Oryctolagus cuniculus: one gene and its partners. The main gene of each other region encodes a partner of the protein of the gene in region 6 in a complex. Links are inferred from orthologs where the notes say so. Each region holds a gene or a part of one and is shown on either strand. Other genes may lie near its edges. The genes, in order: TMEM107, TMEM231, MKS1, TCTN1, B9D2 and AHI1.

Region 1 (5,178 bases), on a different chromosome or scaffold from region 6:
GGAGGCCTTGCTCCCTTCTCCCTGAGTGCTCACACTTGGAGAGACACATGTCTTCCTCAAGAGGGTCCTACCACCCTGACCTAATCTAAACCTAATCATCTCCCACCTCAAAATGCCGCCGCATGAAGGGTTAGGGCTTTAAAACCAGGGCATATCCAAAAGTTCATGGAAAATGGAACTAAAAGATACTTTGATACAAAAAAAATGGAATCCAGGGATAGTTTGTTTTACTATGCAATTTGCATAAACTGGTTTGGCATACTTTCGTGTATCTCATAAAGGTATAGAAATCATAATACATGAAGAACACTTGTAACTCAACAGTGAAAAGACAAACAATCCAATTAAACAAACAAACAAACAAAAAAAAAAAGAAGAAGAAGAAGAAGTTAAAGGGCCAGCTCTGTGGCACAGTGGGTTAAAGGCCCAGCCTGCAGCACTGGCAAACCATATGGGCGCCAGTTCAAGTCCTGACTCCACTTCTAATCCAGCTCCTTGCTAATGCACCTGGGAAAGCAGCGGAAGATGGCCCAAGTGCTTGGACCCATCACCCACAAGGGACACCTGGATGGAGTTCCCGGCTCCTGGTTTCGGCCTGGCCCAGCCCTGGCTGTTGTGGCCATCTGGGGGAGTTAACGAGTGGATGCAAGATCTTTCTCTGCCTCTTCCTCTCTGTAACTCCACTTTTCAAATAAAATAAATGCATCTTTTAAAAAAAGGTAGAATGAGAAGCTCGTGTGCGGCGGCGGTGTCGGCAGCGGCTGCAAAGAGAAGAGTTTGGCGCGATGTCTCATACCATTTTGCTGGTACAGCCTACCAAGAGGCCAGAAGGCAGAACTTATGCTGACTATGAATCTGTGAATGAATGCATGGAAGGTATTTGTAAAATGTATGAGGAACATCTGAAAAGAATGAATCCCAACAGTCCGTCTATCACATACGATATCAGTCAGTTGTTTGATTTTATTGATGATCTGGCAGACCTCAGCTGCCTTGTTTACCGGGCTGATACCCAGACATACCAGCCTTATAACAAAGACTGGATCAAAGAGAAGATCTATGTGCTCCTCCGCCGGCAGGCCCAACAGGCGGGAAAATAATGGAGTGGAAGCAGTAGGGGGATGGGGGTGGGCTTGGAACACAGGTGTGTACAGCGTGCTGTAGTGGGAGTTTTGTATTATAGTGATCCTGTTTCCACTTGGTACACTCTAGCCAGATTGAATGTATCAGATGAAGTGTGAGAATGTTGTTCAATCTGAAACCCCCATTGCCCCTTTTTTCTTTTCTTTTTCTTCCCTTTTTTTTTTTTTTTACTTAAACATTTTTATGAGGATTTAGATGGAATTTTTTTGTCAGTTAATGTTGGTTCCAGAGCTTCAGACTGTTGAGATCTGCTTTATAACAGTCACTGTACTAACCCTTAGAGATGGGGTGGGGGGTGGCTCAGTTTAGTTACATCCTCAAGGCAAACTCTTAGTGGAAAATAAATGTTCTTTAGTTATAAAAAAAAAAAAAGGTAGATTGAAATACACAAAAGATGTTAAAATCTATGTGGTCACCATGCTACTAAAAAGATCTAGTTGTGTTTGTAGGACACTACTGAACCGGGATTCTGAAAACTGGCAAATAATGGAAAAAAAAAAAAAGGACCCATTTATCCTGCCTTTCCTGTATGACTCGTATCTCATGGAAAATTCTTACTGATAAAAGAATTCTAGCTGGTAGATGCAGAAGAGGGCTCGAATTAGGCCATCCCCATTTTGCAATCGCTATTGAAATCATGCAGTTAGGCAATGAGGACCCGTGGTACCATTAGGTGAGAATGGATGAAGAATTTTATCACGGGTGGCTCAGCCTGACCGCACCCGAAGCCACCACTCAGACTTCAGCACCACAGACAGACAGACACACAGACAAGCAGGATTCCTGATGAGGTGAACAGAAAGTACAAACCATCCCTCGGGATGTGATCTTACCAGAAAACTGAATGACACATAGATCAACCATTAGACCTGACCATCAGTTTGCAGGAAACACAGTGCCAGGAGAGAATGAAATGACGCCACACGTGGCCCAGTATCTTCAGCAAGAAAAGAAGGAAGGTGAGGTGATGGGGAGGAGGGCAAACCCAAGATTAACAGAGATTTCAGACATGTCAGCCAAGTGGACTTTATTTGTACCCCAATGCACACGTGTGGGGTTGTGGTGGAGGGGAGGGGGCAACAAAGCTGACCACGTGCTGACAACTGTTGAGGCAGAGCAGTGGCCCTCCCAGGGGTTTGTTATACTGTTTCATTTTTACGTTGTGTTTGAAATTTCCTAGGATGCCAAAAAATGAAAAGTTTGCAAGTTCTTTTGTCACCAATTCAAATGCTGAGATACCGAATCCAGCCCTGGAGTGAGTGGCCACCTACGGGAGGACAGCTGGTCACCCGCAGCACAGCCCATGGCCACCAGCAGGCTCTAAAACCCAGGCAAGAAACGACTTTCTCTGAGGCAAGTTTCTATAAACCAAGGTTGTGGACAAGGACAAAGCAGACATAGGCTGCCCACTCCCTGTTCATGAGTCCACACCTAAGGACCTGAGAACTCGGTTTGTACTGTCTAGCCCGTCTCCTAGGCAGAACGCCTACTGAGCAGAATGCTCCAAACCTCCAGCTGTTGAACGCAAAATCCTTGGGTCACCTTGACTCTCCCTTTTCCTCACCCACCCACAGGCCCCGAGCCAGACCCTCTCCCCAATCCTTCTGCTTTGCTCCATCGTCTTTGCTTCACCCTGTCCTTTCTGGATACTTCTATGGCTTCCTCGTTAGTCTCTCCATATTGCAACCTGGGTCGTGGAGAATACGAATCTGACCACGTCGCGCCTGGTGGCTGCAAGGCCTGCCGCGACCACGCTCCACCTCCTTTTGGGCTGCCTACCACTAGGCTTTGCAGTGCAGGCTGACTTGAAGGCTGGGGTTACTCTCCTCAGAAGCGGGGAGGGAAGCCCCTTGGGTGTGCGCAAGCAGCAGGGGTCTTCCTGGAGCCCGTGCGGCCGGTACCTCGGAGACCCCGGAACCAGAGCTGAGCCTTGCGTCCCAGGCAGCTCCAAACCTCCTGTGCGGGACGCTTCGTCCACGCTCGCCCTGTCCAGTCCCGGCGGGGCCGTCCCTAGGCTGAGGCTGCCACCATCTTCTGCACTATGCAAATCCCTCACCGAACCCGGCAAAGATGTCTGGGGTGCTCCGACCACCAAGGGCTCCGTGACAACGGGCCTGCCGGACAAGGTAGGTCCAGTGAACGTTCCACGTTGGGCTCAGGGCACAAGGAAGCTACGAGGACGGAAAGGGAAGACCGCGTCTGAGCCTCCAACCTAAGACCGGCACGCCGGCCGCAGCAGTCCGCGAGCACCTCCTCCGCGGACAGGCCATTCCCGGCAATGCAGCCTGGGGCCGCGCCGCTCCGGACCTGAGCAGCCAGCGAACCCCCGGACGTAGTCCTCCGGTTAGGAGGCTGGCGGCCGCAGCGGGGTCCCCGAACACGGCGCACTTGCACGACGGCGGCTCGAGAATTTACGGCTCTCGCGAGATCTTCAGAACCCGAGGCGCACGGTCCGCGTACGCAGTTACCAAGGCAACGGGGCGGCCCCTGAGGCGCGCGAAGGCCGCGGGCCGGGAGAGGTTTCCCAGCGCCGCCGCCCGCGGCCCTGAGGAGCATGAGCCGGATCTCGGGGCTCGTGCCCTCCCGCTTCCTGACGCTGCTGGCGCATCTGGTGGTCGTCATCACCTTATTCTGGTCGCGGGTAAGACCCACGGCCGCCACTCCGCGTCGCCATCTCGCCGTGGTCGCCGCGCCCACCCCGCCCGGGGTCTCAGCCGGCCTCTCTCACTTCCTTTCCTTTTCTGCCCGCTCCCCAGGACAGCAACGTCCAGGCCTGCCTGCCCCTCCGATTCACCCCCGAGGAGTATGAGAAGCAGGACGTGCAGTGAGCTCTTGGGGGGGTGGGGGTTCGAAGGAAGAGGCGGTGGGAGTCCCGGAGGCCGGGGGTCCTGAGCCGCTCCCCTTCCTCTCTGCAGGCTGGTGGCCGCCCTCTCGGTCACCCTGGGCCTCTTTGCCGTGGAGCTGGCCGGCTTCCTCTCAGGAGTGTCCATGTTCAACAGCACCCAGAGCCTCATCTGTATCCTTTCTGCCCCCACGACCCGTTTCCAGCGCGACTCCCTTCAGCGACCCCCTTCCCCCCAGGAGCCCCGCCTCTGCTTAGGCAGTGCAGGGATTTGACACAATCCTCAAACAGTTGTGGATGCCGCTGTGCACCGGGCCCTGGAGGTAAATGGGGGTGAGGCGGAGGCAGACACACACACACACACACACACACCCCACTATCCTCTAGGAGGGGGTAAAAGAGCCAAGGATTGAGGGAGGCGCTTGACTCTCCAGTTGCGGGCCTCCTGGTGGAGAGTGATTCCAGCAGAGAGGATCAAGTCGCTGTCCGCATTCCTGTGGGGTCCATGGGGGCCTGCTCTGACCTCCCCTCGGGGGTGCAGGCTGGCCCCTCCATGTGGGGTGAGGGTAGCCTGGGGTCTCGGCAGTGCAGGCTCAGCGCAGGCCGCTACACGTGGGCCTGTTAAAATCAGAAGGCAGGGCTGCTGACTCCCGCCGTCGCACAAGGCCTGGGAGCTCCACCACTGGCCTGCCATAGCCCGTCGCTGTTGTGGCCCCAAGACTTTCCTTGACTCCTGTGTGTCGCCCACAAGCCATCGCAGCGCACTGTAGTGCATCTGTAGCCCTGTCGTTCTTCATATTCGAGCGCTGGGAGTGCACCACGTACTGGTACATTTTTGTGTTCTGCAGGTGCGGTTAGCACCCAGTCTTGGGGGGTGGGGAGGAAGGCTCGCCCCATCCAGCTCTTCCCTGAATGTTTGAGACACCAAGACCACATCCTGTGGTCCTTTGAAGTCCCCCCTCCAATCCCACCCTCTACACTTCGGGGCTGGGATGTCTGGTTTGGAGATTCGGGTATTTATGTTGGAAGGGGGCCTGACCCCACCACCTGCCTTCCACAGCGCCCTCCCAGCTGTCACTGAAGTGGCATTATTCATCGCCGTCTTTGGGCTGAAAAAGAAACCCTTCTGATCATCCTCACTGCAAGAACGTGGAGAACAGGGCTGGGGGAGCCAGAAGCTCCCGTTCCTGGCA
Region 2 (4,927 bases), on a different chromosome or scaffold from region 6:
AGAGAGAGAGGTCCTCCATCCACAGGTCCACTCCCCAGATGGCTACAACGGCCAGAGCTGCCTCAGTGTGAAGCCAGGAGCCTCCTCCGGGTCTCCTATGTGGGTGCAGGGGCCCAAGGACCTGGGCCATCCTCCAGTGCCTTCCCAGGCCATAGCAGAGAGCTGGAACCGAAGCAGACAGTCAGAAATCGAACTGGCACCCATATGGGGTGCTGGCCCTGCAGGCGGTGGCTTTACCCACTACACCACAGCACCGGCCCCCACACTGACTCCTGATCCTGCAACTGGAGTCTTCAGGGCCTTTGGATGGAGAACTTGGCTGTGGACCATTGGTTTTATTATTTATTTTTCTTTTTTTTTGTTGTTTGCTTACTTTTTTTTTTCTTTTCCTTTCTTTTGGATCATAGGTTTTAAAAATCCTTCCACCCTGTTCAAAATACTGGCTTGGCAGAGAAGGCGGTGGGCAATCAATTAGCAATAAACCAATGTTATCTTTGGGAAGTACGACTTAACCCACTGGGGCAGCACTGTGGTGCAGCGGGTTAAGCCACCATCTGCAGGGCCAGCATCCCTTGTGGGTGCCAACTGAGTCCTGGCTGCTCCACTTCCAATCCACTTTCCACCTGGGAGAGCAGCAGAGGAGGGGCCAAGTGCTTGGGCCCCTGCACCCCAGTGGGAGACCCAGTTGAAGCTCCTGGCTCCTGTTTTTGGCCTGGCCCAGTCCTGGCTGCTGCGGCCATTTGGGGAGTGAACCAGCGGATGGACGATCTCTCTCCCCTTCTCCCTGTAACTCTTTCAAATAAATTATTAAACCTTAAAAAAAAAAAAAAAAGGCTTAACCCACTGCACAACACGTCCCAGAGGGGAGTGCCAAGTCCCAGCTGGTCGGCTTCCACTCCAGCTTCCTGCTCGGGCATCCTGGGAGGCAGATGATGATGGCCCAGATATTCAGGCCCCTGCCCTTAAGTGGGAAACCCAGAGGGAGTTCCTGGCTCCTCGGGCCATTTGGGGGAGCGAACCAGCAGTTGAAAGATCTCTGCCTCCCTCTGTCACTCTTTCAAATAAATATTTTTAAAAAGAAATGTATCTTGTTTAGTAGCTCCCTCTGAAACCGGCAGCCGAACCTGCACCCAATACAGGTAACAATGTACGTAGTAATGACCCTGCCCGCCCCAGAGCCGAGGGTTTGGGTCCTGTGCGCTGTCCTGCTTCCGGAGCCACAGAACACAGAGGCGGAGCAACCCGGCCTTGGCCTTCGTCCAGGACCAGGTCGAGGAGCGAGGCCACGCGTGTGCGACCTGCGGGCATCAGCGTGGACCACTCAGCCGTCCTCAGCCGTCCCGAAGCAAAACACGCAACGCCCCCCTCTCGGTGGCCCGTCCACTGGCTGACCACGCCCCTCTCCAGGTAGCTCCGCCCCTTCTAGAGGCCCGCGCCGCTACTATTGGTCCTCCTCCCGGCGCCGCCGGTTGCCGTGGAGACCACGACGATGGCAGCCGGGAACAGCCAAACTTGGTCGTCCCTTCTCGGTTTGCGTAGGGGTCTCGGCGTGCGCCGTCCATGGCGCTGTACCAGCTCTACTCCCACCCGGCCGAGCGCGGCTACCGCGCGGGGCTCTGCTCCAAGGCAGCGCTGTTCCTGCTCCTGGCCGCCGCGCTCACCTACATCCCGCCGCTGCTGGTGGCCTTCCGGAGCCACGGTGAGCTTGCTAGGCCGGTGCGCGCCACCGCCTCCGCTCGGGACGGCCTGCCTGACCTGTCCCCCTCTCCCTCTCACGCCCTTCTTCTCTCAGGGTTTTGGCTGAAGCGGAGCAGCTACGAGGAGCAGCCGACCGTGCGCTTCCAACACCAGGTACTGCTCGTGGCCCTGCTGGGACCGGAGCGCGACGGCTTCCTGGCCTGGAGCACCTTCCCCGCCTTCAACCGGCTGCAGGGGGATCGCCTGCGCGTCCCGCTCGTCTCGGTGCGTGGCTCCCGCCTGGAATTCCGCTTCCCCCAGACGCCCAGGTACCCGGGCAGCGCTGCGTGCTGACCCGGGCCGGGCACGGTGCGCGCTCGGGGTCCCGCGGTGTCGCCGCGTTCACGCGGCGCGGCGGAAGCTGGGGGTCGGGGGCGGGCGTCTCCGGGCAGGACTGACCCTCGGAGACCGGGCGCCCCGCACCTGTTCCCCGGCAGGGCCCCGGCGGAGGGAGCCTGCCCCACGTGATCTCAGAGGCTGCTCCAGCGTGCATCTGTCCGGGGTAAAATTGAGACTTTTTCTTTAAGAGGGCCGAAACTTCTAGTTTTCCTTCTTCCACGTCCTTGAGGTGAGTGGCCTACAAGACAAACTCGTGTAAAAAATGTTCCCAGCAAAAAGATGATAGGTCGTATGAATAACTAGAAAGTTTGTTACAGATAGTTTTTCTCTGGTTACTTCTGAAATTTATTGGCTTTTTTTTTTTTTTAAGATTTATTATGTATTTGAAAATGAGAGTTGCACAGAGAAAGGAGAGGCAAAGCGAGAGAGAGAGAGGTCTTCCTGATGGTTCACTCCCCAGTTGGCCGCAACGGCCAGAGCTGCACCGATCCAAAGCCAGGAGCCAGGAGGTTCTTCCAGGTCTCCCAAGTGGGTGCAGGGGCCCAAGCACTTGGACCATCTTCTACTGCTTTCCCAGGCCACAGCAGAGAGCTGGATCGGAAGTGGAGCAGCCGAGTCTCAAACCTGCACCCATAAGGGATACCGGTGCTTCAGGCCAGGGCGTTAACCCGCTGCGCCACAGTGCCAGCCCCTATTGACTTATTTTAATTAGGAAAGTACCCAGTTTCCCACGTCGGTGTCAGGGGCCCAGGTACTTGGGCCGTCTTCTGCTGCTTTCCCAGGAACAGTGGCAGGAAGCAGGATTGGAAGTGGAGCCGCCAAGACTTGAACCGGTGCCCATAGGGGATGCTGGCGCTGCAGGCAGAGGTCAAACCCACTGTGCCACAGCACTAGCCCCAGGTTTTTTCTCCACATGTTTATATTCCTCTCTATCATGTGCTTCTGGTCATTTGAGTCTAAGAAATACCATGCAGGCTTGAGATAATTGTGAAGACAAGGATAAACCATTAAGTTTCATTCATTCATTGTTTTTACGGGTTCGTGCAACACAGCTGCTGTTGGCCTCTTAGCTCTGCAACCAGAAACCAACCACTCCCTTCAGTGCACCGCCCTGGTCCCCCCTTGCATCTGGCGTGCAGTTCCAATTTTAATGAGAAGCCAAAACTAACTCTTAATGTTTATGGTACCCATACCATGAGATCACTTTCATACTGGGTAATTTTGGGGCTGGCACTGTGGTACAGCGGGTTAAAGCCCTGGCATTCCATATGGTCACTGGTTCGAATCCTGGCTGCCCCACTTCCGATCCAGCTCCCTGCTAATGTGCCTGGGAAAGCAGTGGAGGATGGCCCGGTGCTTGCGGCCCTGTATCCATGTGGGAGACCTGGAATAAGCTTCTGGTTCCTGGCTTCAGCATGTCCGAGCCCTGGCCATCGTGCCATTTGGGGAGTGTACCACCGAATGGAATTTTTTTTTTTTTTTTTTTTTTTGACAGGCAGAGTGGACAGTGAGAGAGAGAGACAGAGAGAAAGGTCTTCCTTTGCCGTTGGTTCACCCTCCAATGGCCGCCGCGGCCGGCGCGCTGCGGCCGGCACACCGCGCTGATCCGATGGCAGGAGCCAGGAGCCAGGTGCTTCTCCTGGTCTCCCATGGGGTGCAGGGCCCAAGCACCTGGGCCATCCTCCACTGCACTCCCTGGCCACAGCAGAGGGCTGGCCTGGAAGAGGGGCAACCGGGACAGAATCCGGCGCCCCGACCGGGACTAGAACCCGGTGTGCCGGCGCCGCTAGGCGGAGGATTAGCCTAGTGAGCCGCGGCGCCGGCCTCGAATGGAATATTTTCTTCCCCTACCCCCTACAGCCAGTGCGCCACAATGCTAGCCCTGGTTCTTAATTCTTTTTTTTTTTTTTTTTTTTAGATTTATTTATTTATTTGAAAGTCAGAGTTACACAGAGAGAAAAGGAAAGGCAGAGAGAGAGAGAGGTCTTCCATCGCTGGTTCCTTCCTCAATTGGGCACGACAGTGAGAGCTGCACCAGTCCAAAGCCAGGAGCCAGGAGCTTCTGCCAGGTCTGCCACACAGGTGCAGGGGCCCAAGGACTTGGGCCATCTTCTACTGCTTTCCCAGGCCACCGCAGAGAGCTGGATTGGAAGTGGAGCAACTGGGACTCGAACCAGCACCTGGGATGCCGACCCTGCAGACGGTAGCTTTACCTGCTATGCCGCAGCACTGGCCCCTAGACTCTCAACCTTTGTTACAGCAAAATACTTTTATTTTCTGACTCTGAACATAAAGCCCGACTGGCTTCAAGCTGTCTGCGAAACTGTCTAGGAAGCTACAGAAACAGCGGTCCTCAGTCAAGGTTGAACCAAGTGCGGGGAGGCATCTTGGTGACTGCTAATTTGGGAAAATGCCTCGGAAGTCACAAACAGCCTGGGTTCTGCTTTGGTCAGCTCACCTTGGACAGCATCTCTAAAGTCCCCCCCTTCTCTTTGATTAATATTATTTTATAAGATACCTTTTTTTTTTTTTTTTTTTTTTTTTTTTTTTTTGACAGGCAGAGTGGATAGTGAGAGAGAGAGACAGAGAGAAAGGTCTTCTTTTTTTTTTTCGCCGTTGGTTCACCCTCCAATGGCCGCCACGGCTGGCGTGCTTCGGCCGGCGCACCGCACTGATCCAATGGCAGGAGCCAGGTGCTTCTCATGGTCTCCCATGGGGTGCAGGGCCCAAGCACTTGGGCCATCCTCCACTACACTCCCGGGCCACAGCAGAGAGCTGGCCTGGAAGAGGGGCAACCGGGACAGAATCTGGCCCCCGGACCGGGACTAGAACCCGGTGTGCCAGCGCCGCA
Region 3 (4,392 bases), on a different chromosome or scaffold from region 6:
AACCGACGAATCTTTACCTACACCGACTCTGACCGCTACACCAATTTGGAGGAGGTATTGTTCTTCCCAAGGCCCTGTAGCTTCCTTCTTTGCCTCCCCTGGCTTTTTGGCTTCACTGGGTTCTGGGTGCTAAATCGGAAGCCTGGCAAGGGAGGAGATCCATAGGCTGTCTGGAAACTGCCGTGAGCTGCTGGCAGCCAAGCTGAGGCAGAGTGGGCAGAGTGCAGGTGGTGTGGCTGCTGCTCCCGTCTCCGCCTGCTGGAGGGCCAGGAGGGGCGTGCAGCGTCTCGGAGGCCAGACTTGCAGGGTGCAAACCCACAGAAGCAACCCCTTGACTGCCTCCAGGCATCGTGGGTGGAATCTGGGACAATCTAGATAAAATTCTACAGGGACCTCAGCCACAGCTCTGAGTGTACGTGTTTGAAGAGGCTTCAGAGAGCCGCGAGGGGAATGTGGTCTCCTGCAGCTGCCTCTGCCATACCCTTGTGGACTTGTTCTGTTTTCTTCTGTCACTGCATAAGCTCTAGCTTCTCAGTGAGATCTTTCAACTCCGGGAGGGTGCAGCCTACATTCTGTGGTTTCAGTCTCTAACCCTGCAGCTCTGCAAGGGGCAGGTGTTAAATGAGTGTTTTGCAAGGTTGGAAGGCTTCTGTTAAGAGAGATGTGGGTTGGTAGCATATAATATTCAGGTTGTCTGTTTTGGCAAAGCAAATAAAAATGCAGGTAGAGCTCAGTGACCCACGTCAGGATTTTCCACAGAATGTCTGTATCCCATTTGGTGTTTTCCAGCAACCTGGTTAACTTCAACATCTACTGGGCAGACTGACCCAGCTTTTTGTTTGTAGGTGCTCAACGAATGCAGACCGACTTTAAATCAGAATAAACAGCTCATTTCTAGAATTCGGGGGGAAGGGAATGGGCATTTGGTTTAGTGATTCGGATGTCCATTCTCCATATCAGAGAGCCTGGGTTCGATACCCAAGTCGTGCTCCTGACTCCAGCTTCCTGCTGTCGTGCACCCTAAGACTCGAGTAACTGGGTTCCTGCTGCCCACGTGGGAGACCTGGATGGAATTCCTGGCTCCCAGTCCAGCCACTGTGGGTGTTTGGAGAGTGAACCAGTGGATGGGAGCTCTCCCTCCCTGTCAAATAAATAAAAAATTAAAGGAATTCTTCAATTCTAGGGCAGACCGAGACACGGCAGGAGTCCTCTCTGGATTGTTTGTGCCACACTCCCCCATTGACGCGTGTAATTGTGAGGTGGTTATACCCAGGTTCAGGCTCCTGAAGAGGTTTCACAAGGAAGATGAGCACGCAGACACTCGGGCCCCTGTGGCCCTGACCAGCTGGCTTCCACGGGGTTGCTCTCTTTCCCCAGCACTGTCAGAAGATGACCACTGCGGCCAGCGAGGTGCCGTCATTCTTGGTCGAACGAATGGCAAACGTCAGGCGGCGGCGGCAGGACAGGCGAGGGACGTGAGTGCAAGCACCCGGGGACAAAGGGTGCTGGGTGGTCCTTCCGTGCCACTGTGCACAGTGTGTCCGGTGACTCGGGCTGCCCAGTGTGCTTCCCTGGGTTCCCCTGTCAGGCTCTGCAGGGGGTGCTGGGGAAGTGACCCTTCCGACGGTGTCTCCCAGGGAGGGCGGCATCCTCAAGTCACGCATTGTCACCTGGGAGCCCTCGGAAGACTTCGTCCAGAACAACCACGTCATTAACACCCCTCTTCAGACGATGTACATCATGGCCGACCTGGGGCCCTACGGCAAGTGAGTGCAGCGGCTCACTGCCCAGCCCCCACCCGCCTCATCCCTTGTCGCGGACCATCGGCTTCCTGGCACAGTCTTCTGGCTCTCGGGAGGGAAGGGCTTTGTCTTCTTAGTAGAAGAAGCCTCGTCCTCTTCCCCGGAGCAGGCCGACGACCTGTGCCTCTTTTCCTGGAGGGGACCGGTGACTTGGTGTTGACTTCCTGGTTCCTAGGCTTGGCTATAAGAAGCATGAACACGTCCTGTGTACTCTGAAGGTGGACAGCAATGGCGTGATCACAGTGAAGCCGGACTTCACTGGCCTCAAAGGACCCTACAGGTGAGGAGAGGAAGGGAGGGGCAGTGGCAACTGGCGTTCCTGCCTTTGGCTTCTCTTCCTGCTCCTGATCCCCGACGTTCTCAGAAACTCTGCATGTGCGCCAGCTTTGCAGTCCCCAGGCAGCAGCTCATACTTTGTTCCGGTCCCTGGCACTTCGTGTGCAGCTGCACCACTTTGAAAGCCACCCCTCCAGCAGGGTGGTTGCTGACGTGAAGACGCTCCTGCACGCTGCGGAGTGTAGGGACCGGAGCAGGGCAGGTGAATGCAGCCAGCTCTCTTCCTCTGGGCTGTCGTAGGTAATAGTTGTTACGTTAGAAGTTGTCTGGGCCGGCGCCGCGGCCCACTTGGCTAATCCTCAGCCTGCGGCACTGGCACCCTGGGTTCTAGTCCCAGTCGGGGCACCAGATTCTGTCCCGGTTGCCCCTCTTCCAGGCCAGCTCTCTGCTGTGGCCTGGGAAGGCAGTGGAGGATGGCCCAAGTGCTTGGGCCCTGCACCCCATGGGAGACCAGGAGAAGCACCTGGCTCCTGGCTTCGGATCGGCACAGCACACCGGCCGTAGCGGCCACTTGGGGGGTGAACCAATGGCAAAGGAAGACCTTTCTCTCTGTCTCTCTCTCTCTCACTAACTCTGCCTGTCAAAAAAAAAAAAAAAAAAAAAAAAAAAGATGTCTGGACCAATCTCTCCACCTTTTAGGTGAGAGAACTGGGAGCCAGGGTTGTGCCTTTGGGCTGCACTGTGACTTGGAGGCCGAAATGGGCCTGAAATTCCCTCGTCTGTGGTCCTTTCTGCTTTGCCACTTGGTTTCCCTCTCCAGACTGTCATTAATGGCCGTTTCCATCATACGTGCGTCAAGTGAGACGTGTGGCCAGGGACGGCCTGTCTGGAGGGCCTCCTCTCTTACCATCAGAGTGGGTCCTTTTGTGGTTTTGACCTCACAGAATCGAGACAGAGGGGGAGAAGCAGGAGCTGTGGAAGTACACAATCGACAACGTGTCTTCCCTCGCACAGCCGGAAGAGGAGGAGCGGGAACAGCGTGTCTTCAAGGATGTAAGAGCTACTTCACTGCTGGTGCCGACGTCGGGGGGTGGGGGGTGGGCTGCGCCCTTCGTGGCCCATGTGCCCCCAGGCAGCTCTGCTGTGCTGTCACCGCGGACCCTTGGGGGCGTCCTGTGACGTAGCAGCCGTCCCAGTGGCTGTCTTTGAGCATTCCCCAGGCACTTCATATCCCATTTTTCAATGAGGGCTCACAGCAGACCAGCTGAGGTGAACACCTTTATAGTTACCATTTTTTGTAAGTGAGTAACCGAGACTGCAGAGCTAAGGATCTGCCCAAGGCCAGCGAACTTGCAAGTATGAGAGCCAGGGTTTGTCCCAGACCAGCTGGCTCCAGAGCCTCTGTCGGTGCTGGGATGCGAAGGCCTCCAGTCCTCAGTTGCCACTCCTGCTATTGCTGCTTTTCTCCTGCCCGTCCAGAACTGAACCCTGGTCTGGCTGGGGCCGCATCCTGAGGTTCGGTTTGGTGTGGTTTGGCTCCTCAGCTTTACGGCCGGCACAAGGAGTACCTGAGCAGCCTCGTGGGCACCGACTTTGAGATGGTGAGTAGCTGGGCCTCCTGCAGCTCGGTGGGCCGTGTGCGGCCGGAGCGTTCTGACTGTCAGTGAGGAATTGTGCCTCTTGGAAAGTCTCCAGGACAGAGTCTTCAGAGTAGAACGGGTGTCGCAGAAGAGCACGCGGGCCACAGTGCTTGTGCTGGTGTAGCCATGTTGGTGCACCGGAAAGGCCCTCCGCGGAGGCTTTCTCTGGGGAGGGTGGCCTGCCAGGTAGTGCATGGGCGTGGGTGACTTCCACTTTTTATTCCCTAAACTTGGGCAATTTTGAGTTTTTACTCAGTGGTAATGCATTCATGTGATACTTTAATTTCAAAAACAAATATACAGATAAAAATGTCTTCCTCAACTTTAATGTGAGTATTTTCCTGAGTTAGCTTATAGAGAAGGGAGATATTTTGACTCTTTTTTAAAGAAATTTATTTATTTATGTTGCATATTTGGAAAAGAGAAACAGAGCATGAGAGAGATTGATTGATCTTCCACCCACTGGTTCACTCTCCAAATGCTCTCAACAGCCAGGGCTGAGCGAGGCTGAAGCCAGGAGTCAGGGACTCCATTTAGGTCTCGTATGTGGGTGGTAGGGACCTACATATTTGAGCCATAACCTGCTGCTTCCCAGGGGGTGCATGAACAGGAAACTGGAATCAGAAACAGAGCTGAGATTCAAACCAGGTGCTCCCAGGTGCAAGGCTACAGGA
Region 4 (4,392 bases), on a different chromosome or scaffold from region 6:
GTCAGAAGCCTAGAACTCCAGCTAGGCTCCCCCGTGATGGCAGGGCTCAGTCACTTAGGCCATCGCCTGCTGCCTCCCAGGGTCTGGATCAGGAGGAAGCTAGCATCGGGAGCCATACACGGGACTTGAACCCAGGCGCTCTAATACAGACTATAGGAATCCTAACCAGCATCTTACCTGCTAGGCCAAACACCTGCCCTGCACCTGCAGCCCATCACAAGGTGTGGGATTTCTCACTTGTGGCATTACATCAGCACTCAAAGTCCAGGTTAGGAATGGCCGACCCGTACCACCAGGATGGCCAGCAGCAGCCCCATTTAGGAAAGGAACACTAGCTGCTGTGCCAGGGACCAAACGAGCTCCCCCTCCCGACAAGGGCCAGGTCTGTACTGTGACTGTCATTCCCACTGCACAGGAAAGAGGTTCCGACCTCCAAACTGCTGGCCACAGGCAACACTGCTCATGCGGCAAACTCAGTATTACAGATCCAGGCCAGTCTGCTCACAGCACCCAGGCTCCTACCCAGACTTGCCCACCTCACTCCCTGCGGGGCCCCACCACCCGGCCCAGGAGAGGGAGAGACTACCGGCCTGTGGCCTTCAACTGCCCCCCCCCTTTTTTTTTTAAATTTTTTTTTTGACAGGCAGAGTGGACAGTGAGAGAGAGAGACAGAGAGAAAGGTCTTCCTTTGCCGTTGGTTCACCCTCCAATGGCCGCCGCGGCCGGCGCGCTGCGGCCGGCGCACCGCGCTGATCCGATGGCAGGAGCCAGGAGCCAGGTGCTTTTCCTGGTCTCCCATGGGGTGCAAGGCCCAAGCACTTGGGCCATCCTCCACTGCACTCCCTGGCCACAGCAGAGAGCTGGCCTGGAAGAGGGGCAACCGGGACAGAATCCGGCGCCCCAACCGAGACTAGAACCCAGTGTGCCGGCGCCGCTAGGCGGAGGATTAGCCTAGTGAGCTGCGGCGCCGGCCCCCCTTTACCTTCATGTTGGATGACTGGGTGACAAAGTGGACGGGCACCCAGTCCAGCACATCCTGGGCACGGGTATTTCCAAAGGGAGCCACGTAATCTGGAAAGCCCTGGCCCACCAGCAGGCTCTTCACTATTGGCGCCAAGAGCCGACATGGGAGGGCTCTGGTCAGTCTAGGGAAGAGAAAAGAGGTCAACAAAGAGGGCCGCTGTCCCCTAGAAGCTGCTGCTAGGGGCCTCAACGGCAGCCATGCCCCTCAGCTTCGCTCTTAGCTCTGCAAAAGGGGGACTCTTTGGCAGAAGCCAAGGTGGCTCAAACTTCGTGAAATCTTAGCCAAGGAGATGAGTCCAGATGTTTCTCAAACTGGGTTCCCGAAACTACTAGAATGGTTCCACAGCCAAAAGTTTAGGAGACCCCGTCTCTCCTTGAAGCACACAGCTTCTACGGCTCTAAGCCTTCCCAGAGGAAGCAGCTGTGGTTTTCACTTTGATTTGGTGTCCCCAAACATACTGGACTACAGACCATGCCTGCTGACATCTTGTAGAAACGTATTCCACGGAATGCTGGCCTAAAGAGATCAAAACTAAAAATGCAAATGTTAGACTGCTCTAGCCAAAATCATGATAGTATTAACCTGGGGAGAAGTGGAAAGTATGTGGCAAGAGCCAAATCTTCTTCCATAGTGGAAATCCACCAAGGAAAAAAAATTAAAAAAAAAATATCAAGAAGTGGTTATTTCAAGATTGGGGTTGGATTCCCAAAGAAACTCGGCTACATAAGTTGGAATGGTAGTCTCTGAGGTTTGAACTGCTGGCTTTATAATGAGCCACCCAGAGCTATATGACATTTTACAGTATATACACAGTAGACAAAATGACAATAAAAACACATGGATCACATTTGGGGTTCCTCTCACTGGTTTCCTCATGCTGTGCATGCAAATATCAAAATTCAGAAATAAGAAGGCACTCCAAAAAGTTCATGGAAAATGAAATTAAAAGTTTACTTTGGTGCCAAAAAAAAAGTTTGAAATCCATACATATGAAGACTCTTCAAAAAGTTCACAGGAAATGCATTATGTTGAAAAAATTACACATGAATTTCACATTTTTTGCACCAAAATAAACTTATCTTTTCATTCGATTTCTCCATAAGCCTTCTGAAGTGTCCTTGAGTAGGACTTCCGGGGGCAACGTCGTGGCTGGAAGTCAACAGGAAGCATGCAGGCTTGCCATGCTCATCTGCCACACCTGCACAGTTCTGCCACCACCCATCAGCAAGGCCAGCGTTCAGGAGCTCAGCAGCCGAGGCAGAGGCTGGACTAAAGTGGACAGGCTGGAAGGCTCTCCTTGTGGTTGGCATACACACACCTGGACAGGCACAGTGGCTCCTTACCTCAGTTTACAGCCAGACTGCATGTCGTGACCAAACAACACCGGGGCTCGGACGCCCTCCAGGGCTAAGCAGTCTTGCTCAGTTGTGCTACGAAGAATGGTAAGTTGTCCGTACCTATTTGTGGTCTGGATGATTCCAGATATTCGCCGACAGTTAAGGCATAGCCGCCTAGTGCTAGAGCAGCCCGAATCTCAGGTCAGGAGATGGCATCACCTCTGTGATGTGAGACACGAGTGAGACCCAAAGCCAACCTCCCTGGACCCCTGGGATTCTAAGTTCTAGCCATCTTCCTTGATTCATAAATCCTCAGGAAAAAAGGCTTCAGAAAATTGGCTCTTCAACATTAATTCCAAATTTTCAAAATGACTACATCCGTGCAGGAGATTCTGTTTAAGTATTAAAATTAATTATTTTAATTAATTAAACCCAACTAAATGAATGTCAACTTTTCTGTCTTAAGATTTTTGTTTCCAAACACTGACATTTTCCCCACCCATGCCGTCTCACCCCGATGGCTCTGCAGCCAGTCCCACCCCCGCCAGAGCCTCCGGGAGCGTGCTCTGGCCGACACTGGTCTCTCCTCCCTGGAAGCAGGCTGGCAGGGAGCCAACCTTCTCTACAGAACCACAAAGGATATCCCTTCTGAGGCTGAAATCCAGCAACTAACGGGAGCCCCACAACGTAACCAGGGTTGCCACTGAGAGGAACCGGCTTCGTGCTGTGCTGAAAAACAAGGCAGAAGTGCCCCCCAAGAATTCCCATTTCAATGAGGGAACAGCAGGAAGAAAATGAGATGCTTCTCCCCACAAAATCTGGAATCTCCTGCCAATAAAAGAATGTCTCCCCCTACTCAGAATTATAAATATACTACTGGTGTGGGAGTGCCCCAGGCTGTAAAAGAACAAGCTAGCGTGGAAAGCAATCGCATTTCCAAGTGGGAACGGCACAAAGACTACCCCGGTTCCATTACCAACTCCACCTGCCACACGCAAACCTTTTGTTCAGTGCAGAGGGTGAGATGGGGTGATACTGCTAAATTGAGTTTTTCTCAGGAAGAACGCATGACTTCTTAACTCGGCAATTAGACTTGTACAAAATGACCCGCCTTACCTGAATGAAGTCGATCTCGAACTTTTGCTGCAGTGGAGCCACCGCACTGCTGACTGTCCCCAGGAGGAGAAAGAGATCGGCGTCTGTGACTTCACCGGCGTCTGTGTACGTGAGCCGGTACTTTACCTACAAACAAAATCAGACTGCAAACACACCTGTTCCCACGACAGCTCAGCTGCTGTACGCGGAGCAGCAAAGCCTTTCCGCCTCACCACTAGCTGCAGCTTTTCACTGAGGAATGCGAGAGAGGTTCCCTCCGCGTCTCCCCAGCCGGGGGGGGGGGGGGGGCACCAAAGCCCCTGTGTGCCCAGCTTCTGTAACTAAGTTCCAAACCACCTGGTCCGTGCAGAATTAACCCAGCTCCACAGGGGACATGCGTTAAACCAAAGACAACAATGTCCTGATGCATTCCTGCAAGTGTACTTGTCCCTTGGAGACAAGTGTGATGGCGCACAGGAGGCCAGGAGAAGCAACACTGCGGGAGGAACCAGACCTCTTTGCAGGTGTCCCGGCATTCCGTTACCTGCAGAGGACTCTGCCAGACAGATGGAGCTTCCGAAGCCAGACTGGGCACCTACCTCAAGGACGACGTTCGTGCAGACTGTGGCATGCCCAGCAGTGATCAGAGACGGTGGCAGCACCTCTGGGGCTGCTAGTCGGGTGAGTGTTTTGTTTAGAGACTGGATGACAATGGACTGGATCGTGATAGGGACCTGCTGAGCAAAGATGTGGACTTGAAAGATTCTCTACAACACAGGGGAATGAGTTAAAGTAATAAAACTTGAACCAAGCCTCCACAGAGACAAGCCTGCTAAAGAACAGTGTGCACACTCTGAGTCCACTTTGTACAAATACACACACTTATATATATTCAGACATACACATTCACTAAGAAACCCTCATGAAAGATACAAC
Region 5 (3,762 bases), on a different chromosome or scaffold from region 6:
CCGTGGGAGACCCAGAGGGAGTTCTGGGCTACTGGCTCCTCTGGCTGGCCCAGCCTGGGCTGTTGGGCCATTTGAGGAGTGAACCAGCAGAGGAAAGATCTCTTTCTCTTTCTCTTCTCTGTTGCTCTGCCTTTCAAATAAAATAAATATTTTTTGAAAAGAAAGAAAACAAAGATGATGCCAGCACCGGGGACTGGAAGCCAAAGAGTTGAAAGGACAGCTGCCTGCCTTACCCTCCATCACCCACATGGCAGCCAGGAGGCGCTCTCCCCTCCCCCCCCCCCCCTCTCCTTTTTAAATGTCTTTACTACCAGCCGGTGCCATGGCTCACTTGGCTAATCCTCCATCTGCGGCGCCGGCACCCAGGGTTCTAGTCCCGGTTGGGGCGCCGGATTCTGTCCCGGTTGCTCTGCTGTGGCCCGGGAGGGCAGTGGAGGATGGCCCAAGTGCTTGGGCCCTGCACCCCATGGGAGATCATGAGAAGCACCTGGCTCCTGCCTTCGGATCGGCGCACTAGCCATAGTGGCCATTTGGGGGGTGAACCAATGGAAGGAAGACCTTTCTCTCTCTCTCTCTCTCTCACTAACTCTGCCTGTCCAAAAAAAAAAAAAAAAAAAAAAATCTTTACTATTGAGCAAAGATACCACACAGAGTGCTCTCATCCTTCACTCCCCAGTGCCCACAAAATGGCTCAGACTGGGCCTTGCCTAGGCTGGACAGAAGGCTGGGAACGCAGTCTGGGCCTCTCCTGCTAGCCTCCCAGAGTGCGCCTTAGCAGGAAGTCGGAGCCGGGAACTGGAGCTGGTATCAAGCCCCGGCGCTGTATGGAATGCCGGCGTCTTAGCTGCTAGGTTAAATGCCAGCCCCAAAAAGATCCTTTAAACGTAAAACGTGCCTCAGCTCCTGGGGCTGTCACCCGCGCCCCCCACCCCCACCCCGCCACCCTCTCACTCTCCCTTAGTCCACAAAATGCCCTTTGAGCCTTCCACACCCAGCCCTCTTACATCCTGCTGCCTTATTAGCGCCTACCAGCTTTTCACGGCAAAGTTGCAATGTCCCCTCCAGGAAGCCCTCTCTGATCGCACTGACAAGGTGGGGCTCCTCCTGTGGGAGGAGGTTGCAGGTTGCCTTGCCCACCCTGGGCTGTGCCACCCACATGGCATGGTCAGCCGTCTGAGGACAGCAACAGGCACAGAGCGGGCTCTCAGGAGATGCCGGTTACATAGTGCTGGAATGGCACACTCCAGGGCCCCTGACACAGAGAAGGAAACACAGAGAGGGATCGCCCACCCAAGGGTTCACTCCTCAGATGCCAGCAACAGCGTGGGCTGGGCCAGAACAAAACCAGGAGCTTGGATCTCAATAGGGGTCTCCCATGCGAGTGGCCATTACCTGGTGCTCTCCAGGGTGCACACCAGCAGGAAGCTGGACCAGAAGTAGAGCTGGGGGCTGGCGCAGTGGCACAGTGGGTAAAGCCGCTGCCTGCAGTGCCAGTATCCCATATGGGCGCTGGTTGAGTCCTGCACCACTTCCGATCCAGCTCTCTGCTGTGGCCTGGGAAAGCAGTGGAAGATGGCCCAAGTGCTTGGGCCCTTGCACCCGAGTGGGAGACCTGGAAGAAGCTCCTGGCTCCTGGCTTTGGATCGGTGCAGCTCTGGCTGTTGTGGCCATCTGGGGAGTGAACCAGTGGATGGAAGACCTCTCTCTCTCTCTCTCTTCCTCTGCCTCTCTGTAACTCTGCCTTTTAAATAAATAAATCTTAAAAAAAAAAAAAAAAAGAAAGAAAAGAAAAAAAGAAGTAGCACTGGCACTCAAACCCACGACTGGATGTGGGGTGCAGGTATCCCAAGCAGCACCCAAACCTCAGAGCCAGGTGCCCACCCTGTGGCCCGCACTTTCCACCAGGTTTTCTGATGCCACTCCTCTCCTCCACTCTGCTGGTTTCCCCGTGAGCAGCACTCGTTCAAGGGAGGAGCCTTGCTGAAGCACAGCGGCCAGCCCTGGCCTCCCTGTCTCTAATTCACAGAGGCCCTCCCAGCTTCCCCCTTATTGAAGACCTGGTTTCTCTCTTTAAGGAAGGCTGCTTCCCTGTTCCTGGGAACCCACCTTCCCTGGCCTCCACCTCAGGCCCCCAGCCTGGGGTCCCCAACAGAGCCGGCCTGGGGAGGGTCAGCTCAGCCTCTGCAGGGCCAGGCGTGGCTAGGAAAGGGACCCACAAGGCTTGTTCCAGTCCCAGCAGCTTTGGGGCTACTGGCCGCCTCCCCTCAGCACACCCCGGGCTAAGGCCTGGAACCTACCTTGGAGACCTTTGGTGGCGAAGTGCAGGTCGATGGGGTGGGACCAGTAGGCCATGTCCCCTACCTGGGGGGTGTCCACCTGCGTTTGGCCCTCCCGCACACCTGACAGGAGCTTCCATGCTGCCCCTGTGGTGAGAGCCAGGACAGAGACAAGTGGGCAGGAGATGCCATTGTGGCTTCTCCCTGGCGTTTGTGGGTAGGGGTTACAAAGTGTGGACTCTGGAGCAAATGTTGACCTTCAAATCCTGCCACTACCTCTTCCTACTTGTACAACCCGGGGCAAGTTACCATTCTCTGCCTCAATCTCCCCATCTGTGAAAGGGGCAAACAAGACACATTCCTCAGAAGTCTGTGAGTGTGGGTGCCAGTTCAATCTCACTTTACTACCATCTCTCCCCCCTGGGGGTCCCCGAGGACTGAGATGGACTCATGGGCACCCAGTCCCTCTTGTGGGGCCAGATAACCGTGGGAAAATGCACCAAGGGATACACTGGGCTAAGTGCTTGGGCAGTGCCTTCTGCTGCCCGGCAGGACTCCTACCTCCCCCACGGCAGACTCTCCTGCGTGGCCCACAGGGCACCGCATGGCCTGGCACCTGCCCCCCTTTCTGAACTCACTGCCCGCACAGTCCCCTCCCACACCACCCGTGGGCCTCACTGGTCCCATTTCTGTATGTCTGTCCCCCTACCTCAGGGCCTTTGCACTGACTTCCCTGTTTGGAAAGTTCTGCTCCCAGAAGGCCCCATTCCCGGCTTTTTGCTCATCTTCTGGGCTCAGCTGAGGCGCCTCCTTTTCATTGCGGCTCTCTCTGACTGTCCTATCCAAAACTATCCCAGCACCCATTTCTTTTCCTTTTAAAAATATTTGTATCTAGTATTTGAGAGGTAGAGCGATAAACAGAGAGCTCCCACGCACAGGTTTACTCCCTGAAACGCCTGGAACAGCCGGGACCGGGCCACCCTGAAGCTGGGAGCTGGGAACACAACCCATGTCTCCTACGTAAGCGGGAGGAACCCAGTCACTTAGGCCATCCCTGCTGCCTGCCAGGGCTGGCATTAGCAGGGAGCTAAGCCAGCAGCCAGGTGTGCGGCGGGATGTGCAGGTCCTAACCCCGAGCTAAACACCCGCCCTCTATAGCCATTGCCTCTCTCTCTCCCCAGCACTGTCGCCACTGGAAATCACTGAGTTAAGTTTCTTCAGCGGCTTATATAGTGTCTGACGCTCGTAGAATGAGCTTCAGGAGAGCTTGGCCCATGCACATGGCGGGATCCCCAGTGCGTGGTATACAGAAGGTGGTCGATACATATTTTTTGGGACAATTAAGTGACCCTAGAAGCTATGTGTGCTATGATTACCATTTTCCAAGTACAGAAACAGGCTCTGAGAAGGAAGTCACTTGGTTAATTATTCCATGAACATTTATTGAGCACCTAGGGTATGCCAAGCCTGTTCTCCACTCTGGGGA
Region 6 (4,924 bases):
AAAATTGAAACCAGGAGGTAATGAGATGTGAAACTAGTAAGGAAAACAGAATGTTTTGTATATCAGGCAAAGTCATTCGATCTACTGATGGTTTTTGAAGAATTTTCAGCAAAGCAATGTCATTACCGAACTTACACTTTTAGTGAGGTCATTCTGGTAGCGGCATGGAAAGTGGAGATTAAGAGTCAATACTGGAGTCAGAGGATTGGTAAAGGAGGCCATGTCAAAAATTCCAATGGGAAGGGTGGAAGGCTGGCATTAGCAGTTCGGGTTGAGCTGGCTGGACCATACACTGGGATTGGCAGAAAGACAGAATGCACATTGGTGTAAGAAGGTGCCTACAGGCATCTTACTCAAACACTGGGAGGATGATGGCAGGCTGAAGAGATTAAAGCAACATAAAAAGCCAGGAGTAGGTTTGCTGGATAGGAAGGTAGACATTAGCCTATGGGAAAGGGCCCAAACAAGAAGTACATGTGGAAAGGAAGGGAGCAGCCTTAGAAGCAAGCCTTGGAAGGCACCCAGTGTTTCCAGAAAGTCCTATCCATATCTGACAACCTTGTAGGGGTTGCCAGCCTTCCCTCCGGAGATCTCTCAGGACACTCTTCCTGGCCCTTTGCCAAGGTGGCTCTTAAATCTGGCAATAAAACCTTGCGAGGAATTTCACGAACTTCACCCCCAAAAAACCATTTGCCCAGCAATATCTGCCCCCTCGCCCACTCCCCAAAAAGGGAGCGGGAAGGCGACACAGCAGAAAGGGACCCCTAACTCACAGTAACCCCAGTCTGCATGTAGGCAATGCACTTGGTTTCTTTGGCGAGCCGAGCTGCCCACCATCTCGGATGAACTACCTCGTGAAACTTGGCTAGCTTGCTTACCGCTACTGTCTCCCACCTGAAATTCTTTTCTTACAGGATACACAAAATTCTTCCAGCCAGTTTTGGAGGGAAAAGTAGCACAGTTTGGTAATATTTCTTTCTCATCGCCTCCTCAGAGGTTCTGGAGAAACACTTGCCATCATTTATAAGATGCAGTGATGCCAGTGAGAATGGAGAAGCTGGCAACCAGAGAAATACACAAACTCTCTGGCCCTACAAATGAGGCAACAGGTTTCTGGTGCGTGGCTGCCAACTGCAGAAAACGGCCTCTCACTAAGCGTGGACGAGTAAGGCGTCTGGTGTTTTTCCATCCCTGGTGACTCAGAACCAAAGATGGCGCCTGTGGCAGAAATCTGCAAGGTGGGAGGGGGTCATCAGGTGTAGAAAGATGACGTTTTAATTTCTGTTCTACTTTCAAGGCAACTCAGCGCCAGACAAATCGTGGATAAGTTTTCCCGAAGACTCTGGAGTACAACTCCTCATTCTCCACGCTCTCAACGCGCGTTTCACTTTGTGGGGGCGACCACGTGGGGTGCGACAAGTCTGTTTCTTGGCTTCCTCGCTTCATTCATTCAAGGTTCCTATCTTGGGCGGCTTCCAAGACCGCCTCCCCGCCTGCTTTTGCCCCACTTTTTCCCGCGCTTGCTTTTTTCCGGACGGAGGCCAAGCTCCGGCGGCTCTGAGGCGGCACCCGCGCATTCCCGCCTCCCCTCTGCTGGCCTGGGGATGAGATTCCTGCCCCTTCTAGAACCGCGGAGGCGCGGCCCCGGGGCGCGCGCCCGGCGGCAGGCTGAGGGGCGCGGGCAGACAGGCACTGCAGCAACTCCGGGCCCGCGGCGGAGGCGGAGAGAGCCTGGGGGCGGGGCCGCGGGAAGGGCGCTCCCGCAGGGCCCCCGTCCAGGCCTGGAGCCGGGCCGCATTGGTTGTCATGGGAACGGCGGCGTAGGCCGGCGCTGACGTCACCGGCGGCGCGCTGCCCGCACTGCGGCACCGAGCCCGCTCTCAGAGCCGGTGTTGCTGGCGGCTCCCGAGGCTGCGTAGGCTCCTCGCCCTCCCTGCTTGGGGCTGGGAGCCGCTTCGCGCCGCCCGGGGTGTAGGCTTGTGCGGGAGACGCGGCTCTGCGCTCTGGGTGAGTATCGTGTGGGTGCGCTGGTGGCGGGAGCCCGGACCCGGGTGTTCGGCCTACCTACCCCGGCCCCTCTGGAGGGGTGGCGGCGTTGGGGGCTCCCTCTGCGCCTCCGCAGGCCGAGCGGCCCAGAGCGGCCCAGCGCGGCCCGGGAAGGGGGCGACTTCTCCGGCGTCGGAGCGTCCGGCGTGCTGTTCCGATGCTGCCTCTCCCAGCCCGGATTCTGGCTCAGATGCGTAATAAGCGTGTTTATTTCCTTATAGAGTGTCAACCTGGCGCTGAATGTTGAACCTGTGAAGTGCCTTCTTAATGACACCCAGAAAAGGTGACGGATACGTTACGTTTCTAAGAAAAGAGTCAAATTCTGTTAGAGGCGTTTTGATAAACACAGAAAGGGGATGAGAGCCTTCCCGAGTGTCAGCGCGGCGTGTCAGCCTTAACCGGGAAAGTGGAGACAGGGCTTGCTCTTCTTTGGAGAGAGAGATGCTAACAGTTCCTTCACCTGTTGCGTTTACGCTCGCTGTTATTGCGAGCAAGAGCGCCAGTTAGGAGGATTCCGGGACGTGTTTAAAAGTCTCTTTGGAAGAATTGCAGATGCCACAGGTGTCTGAAACCGCATTTAGGATCTTTATGAAGGCGATTGTTGATTTACTAAGGGTTCTGATTTCTGTTCCTCCTTGGTACAGGTTTGGAGCCGGAGTGAATTCTGCGAGCCTGTCTGCTTCTCCCTCCCCCTTGATCTGTAGTCACATATTGGCTGCTGATCAGGTGGTCAGGGAGAAAGACGAAACGTAATCTCGGCTAAATTTTGCTACGCAGTATCTCTTAGAAGCTTTTGTGAAAGGGTTTGTGAGGGAGAAATGTTAACATCACGGGGTATATGAGATTTGGGAATATGTTTCCAAGTCAGACTTTAAATTTTGAAGCTGTTACTAATCAAATATTAATCATTAATTCTTCTAATGTGTTTGCTGTACATACTAAATAACATTTAGAGATGATGACTTGTAATGTTCTGTTATTAAATAGTATCTCTTATTTCAGTGGTCATTAAAATATTAAATGATAGTAAATGTAAATACAAAATTTACTTAATTGTGTATTGTGTAATTATTTTTAAAATAATTGTAGACATCGAGCACCTGCAGTTTACTGATTATGTTGTTTTCTGATATTTCTTTTTCTCCTTATGATTAAAATAGGGGCCACTTTAGTTTCCTAGACAAGGAAGAAACCAAGGCTTAATGAAACTGGCTTACCCAAGGCCACATGAAGTAGCATGACAGGAGCTCAAGCCTGAGTTTTTCCTATCTGGAGCCATAATTGCTGCCTTTTAAAAATGGAGATACTTATATAAAGATAGTGCAGGCTTGTTCTTCCAAAAGCCAGTAGTTGGGGGAGGGGGTTGCGGGATAGAGGGAGCAGCCAGTTTAGAACCATTTGTGCCAGGGTGAAAAGGGAAGTTGGAAGATCCAGCTGTGCTTTGGGGGAAGGTGCTCCCCAGGGAAGGTGCCATTTGCATTTAGTGTCAGAGTGTCAAAGCAGGGCAGGCTTTTCTCAGGAGAGAAGTGGGTATGTGACCTGCTACAAAGGCAGGAGAGAGTTTGGCGTTGGTCAGGCCCTGCAAGTAGTTTCACGTGGCTGGAGCCCAGAAGCTGTGTGAAGGTGTGGCGGTGAAGGGGCTGTGAGGAATGGCAAAGGATCCAGTCATTAATAGTCGTCTTCTCAGTGGTAAGGACTTGCCAGTGCTTTCCACCAGTCGATTGGGAACTGGTGAGGAATTTTAAAGCAATCACACACCACCATCACCTTTGTGTTTTAGAAAATGATCCTGAATGCAGTGCAGAGGGGTGGAGGGGAGGGTGGTCATGAGAAGCCTGAAAACAGTCTCAAGCAGACATCAAAATCCTAACAGTCTTTTCACCCCTGAAAGCTACTGCCTCATACTATTGCATCTCGAGTGGGAAGAAGACAGTTGGAAGCAAAATTCTAGAAAGAATTGCCTGCGTACCTTTACCGCAGGTCTTGCCTTTCATTCCTCAACCTGTGGCTCCCAGCTGCTGCCCCTCCATAAACAGCTTTGGCACACGTGACTTCATGATTACAGATCCAGCGGGCACTCCCAAAGTGTGCAGCAACTGTAGACACCACACAGCATAGACCTTTCTGAAAACTCTTTCCTTCTGTGATACTTTTCTGTCCCTGTGTTTCACCTACCTCCTCGTTCTAGAATTCAATCTTTGGCTTTTTATTTTCTTGCAACCATTGTACAAATATCTATAAATTATTCCCAAACCATCAGCCTAGGTCTCCTGCTGGATTAATGGATTAATATATTATTTTGCCTCCCAAACATAATATGATTATATGTCCTTTGTGTTCTCTCTCATATATATGTATATATCACACAGTAGTAAAGCAGCTCTCTCTTGAAGCATGTACCATGCAGTAGGCTTTGTGCCAACAGTTTTCCTTGCATATACTCATTTAATCTTTACAAAAACCCAGTGAATGATATTATTATTCTCTTTTGAAAGATGAGGAAATTGAGGTCCTTGTCAAATGGAGCTGGAATTTGAACCAAGGACCTGACGGTGGAATTGATGTTTGTAGCTACTTGGTGTCCTTCAGATACACAGCTCAAACTGCCCCACACAATCCCCTTAGGAAGTTCCTGTTAAAATTGTAGCTCATATTTGTTGGTCCTTGTTCTAAAGTACTGTTTAAATCATTTAGTCCTTTTAACAACCCTTTGAATAGGCAGGCTGGTTTTAAGGTTTAGGAGATCCATGGTCCACAGGCATACAAGTAACCATGGAGACTAATTCTAGAACTTAGGTTTCAGCCAGTTTACCACACTGCGCTATAATACAGCCAGTAATATTGCTGTCCTTATTCTGCTTTATACACATAGGAATAT

Evidence for each region.
Region 1: AHI1 (region 6) and TMEM107 share a complex: the UniProt entries of both Homo sapiens proteins name them as parts of the tectonic-like complex. The link is inferred for Oryctolagus cuniculus from reciprocal best matches to the Homo sapiens genes AHI1 and TMEM107.
Region 2: AHI1 (region 6) and TMEM231 share a complex: the UniProt entries of both Homo sapiens proteins name them as parts of the tectonic-like complex. The link is inferred for Oryctolagus cuniculus from reciprocal best matches to the Homo sapiens genes AHI1 and TMEM231.
Region 3: AHI1 (region 6) and MKS1 share a complex: the UniProt entries of both Homo sapiens proteins name them as parts of the tectonic-like complex. The link is inferred for Oryctolagus cuniculus from reciprocal best matches to the Homo sapiens genes AHI1 and MKS1.
Region 4: AHI1 (region 6) and TCTN1 share a complex: the UniProt entries of both Homo sapiens proteins name them as parts of the tectonic-like complex. The link is inferred for Oryctolagus cuniculus from reciprocal best matches to the Homo sapiens genes AHI1 and TCTN1.
Region 5: AHI1 (region 6) and B9D2 share a complex: the UniProt entries of both Homo sapiens proteins name them as parts of the tectonic-like complex. The link is inferred for Oryctolagus cuniculus from reciprocal best matches to the Homo sapiens genes AHI1 and B9D2.

The regions. Positions count from the first base shown.
Region 1 is NC_091448.1:52,666,729-52,671,906, reverse strand, and holds the start of TMEM107 (transmembrane protein 107), read left to right. Parts: upstream 1-1,877; 5' UTR 1,878-2,102; intron 2,103-2,323; 5' UTR 2,324-3,697; coding exon 3,698-3,784; intron 3,785-3,899; coding exon 3,900-3,962; coding exon of another isoform or gene 3,963-3,967; intron 3,968-4,058; coding exon 4,059-4,159; intron 4,160-4,728; coding exon 4,729-4,833; intron 4,834-5,045; coding exon 5,046-5,115; 3' UTR 5,116-5,178. UniProt on the Homo sapiens protein: Plays a role in cilia formation and embryonic patterning. Requires for normal Sonic hedgehog (Shh) signaling in the neural tube and acts in combination with GLI2 and GLI3 to pattern ventral and intermediate neuronal cell types.
Region 2 is NC_091449.1:57,934,130-57,939,056, reverse strand, and holds the start of TMEM231 (transmembrane protein 231), read left to right. Parts: upstream 1-1,457; 5' UTR 1,458-1,560; coding exon 1,561-1,699; intron 1,700-1,792; coding exon 1,793-1,962; intron 1,963-4,927. UniProt on the Homo sapiens protein: Transmembrane component of the tectonic-like complex, a complex localized at the transition zone of primary cilia and acting as a barrier that prevents diffusion of transmembrane proteins between the cilia and plasma membranes.
Region 3 is NC_091448.1:33,639,509-33,643,900, reverse strand, and holds part of MKS1 (tectonic-like complex member MKS1), read left to right. Parts: coding exon 1-54; intron 55-1,377; coding exon 1,378-1,475; intron 1,476-1,637; coding exon 1,638-1,766; intron 1,767-1,977; coding exon 1,978-2,082; intron 2,083-3,022; coding exon 3,023-3,131; intron 3,132-3,622; coding exon 3,623-3,679; intron 3,680-4,392. UniProt on the Homo sapiens protein: Component of the tectonic-like complex, a complex localized at the transition zone of primary cilia and acting as a barrier that prevents diffusion of transmembrane proteins between the cilia and plasma membranes.
Region 4 is NC_091452.1:8,297,339-8,301,730, reverse strand, and holds part of TCTN1 (tectonic-1), read right to left. Parts: intron 4,194-4,392; coding exon 4,056-4,193; intron 3,604-4,055; coding exon 3,478-3,603; intron 3,091-3,477; coding exon 3,005-3,090; intron 2,509-3,004; coding exon 2,368-2,508; intron 1,146-2,367; coding exon 983-1,145; intron 1-982. UniProt on the Homo sapiens protein: Component of the tectonic-like complex, a complex localized at the transition zone of primary cilia and acting as a barrier that prevents diffusion of transmembrane proteins between the cilia and plasma membranes.
Region 5 is NC_091449.1:13,272,433-13,276,194, reverse strand, and holds part of B9D2 (B9 domain-containing protein 2), read right to left. Parts: intron 2,424-3,762; coding exon 2,298-2,423; intron 1-2,297. UniProt on the Homo sapiens protein: Component of the tectonic-like complex, a complex localized at the transition zone of primary cilia and acting as a barrier that prevents diffusion of transmembrane proteins between the cilia and plasma membranes.
Region 6 is NC_091436.1:33,406,285-33,411,208, forward strand, and holds the start of AHI1 (jouberin), read left to right. Parts: upstream 1-1,868; 5' UTR 1,869-2,007; intron 2,008-2,267; 5' UTR 2,268-2,329; intron 2,330-4,924. UniProt on the Homo sapiens protein: Involved in vesicle trafficking and required for ciliogenesis, formation of primary non-motile cilium, and recruitment of RAB8A to the basal body of primary cilium.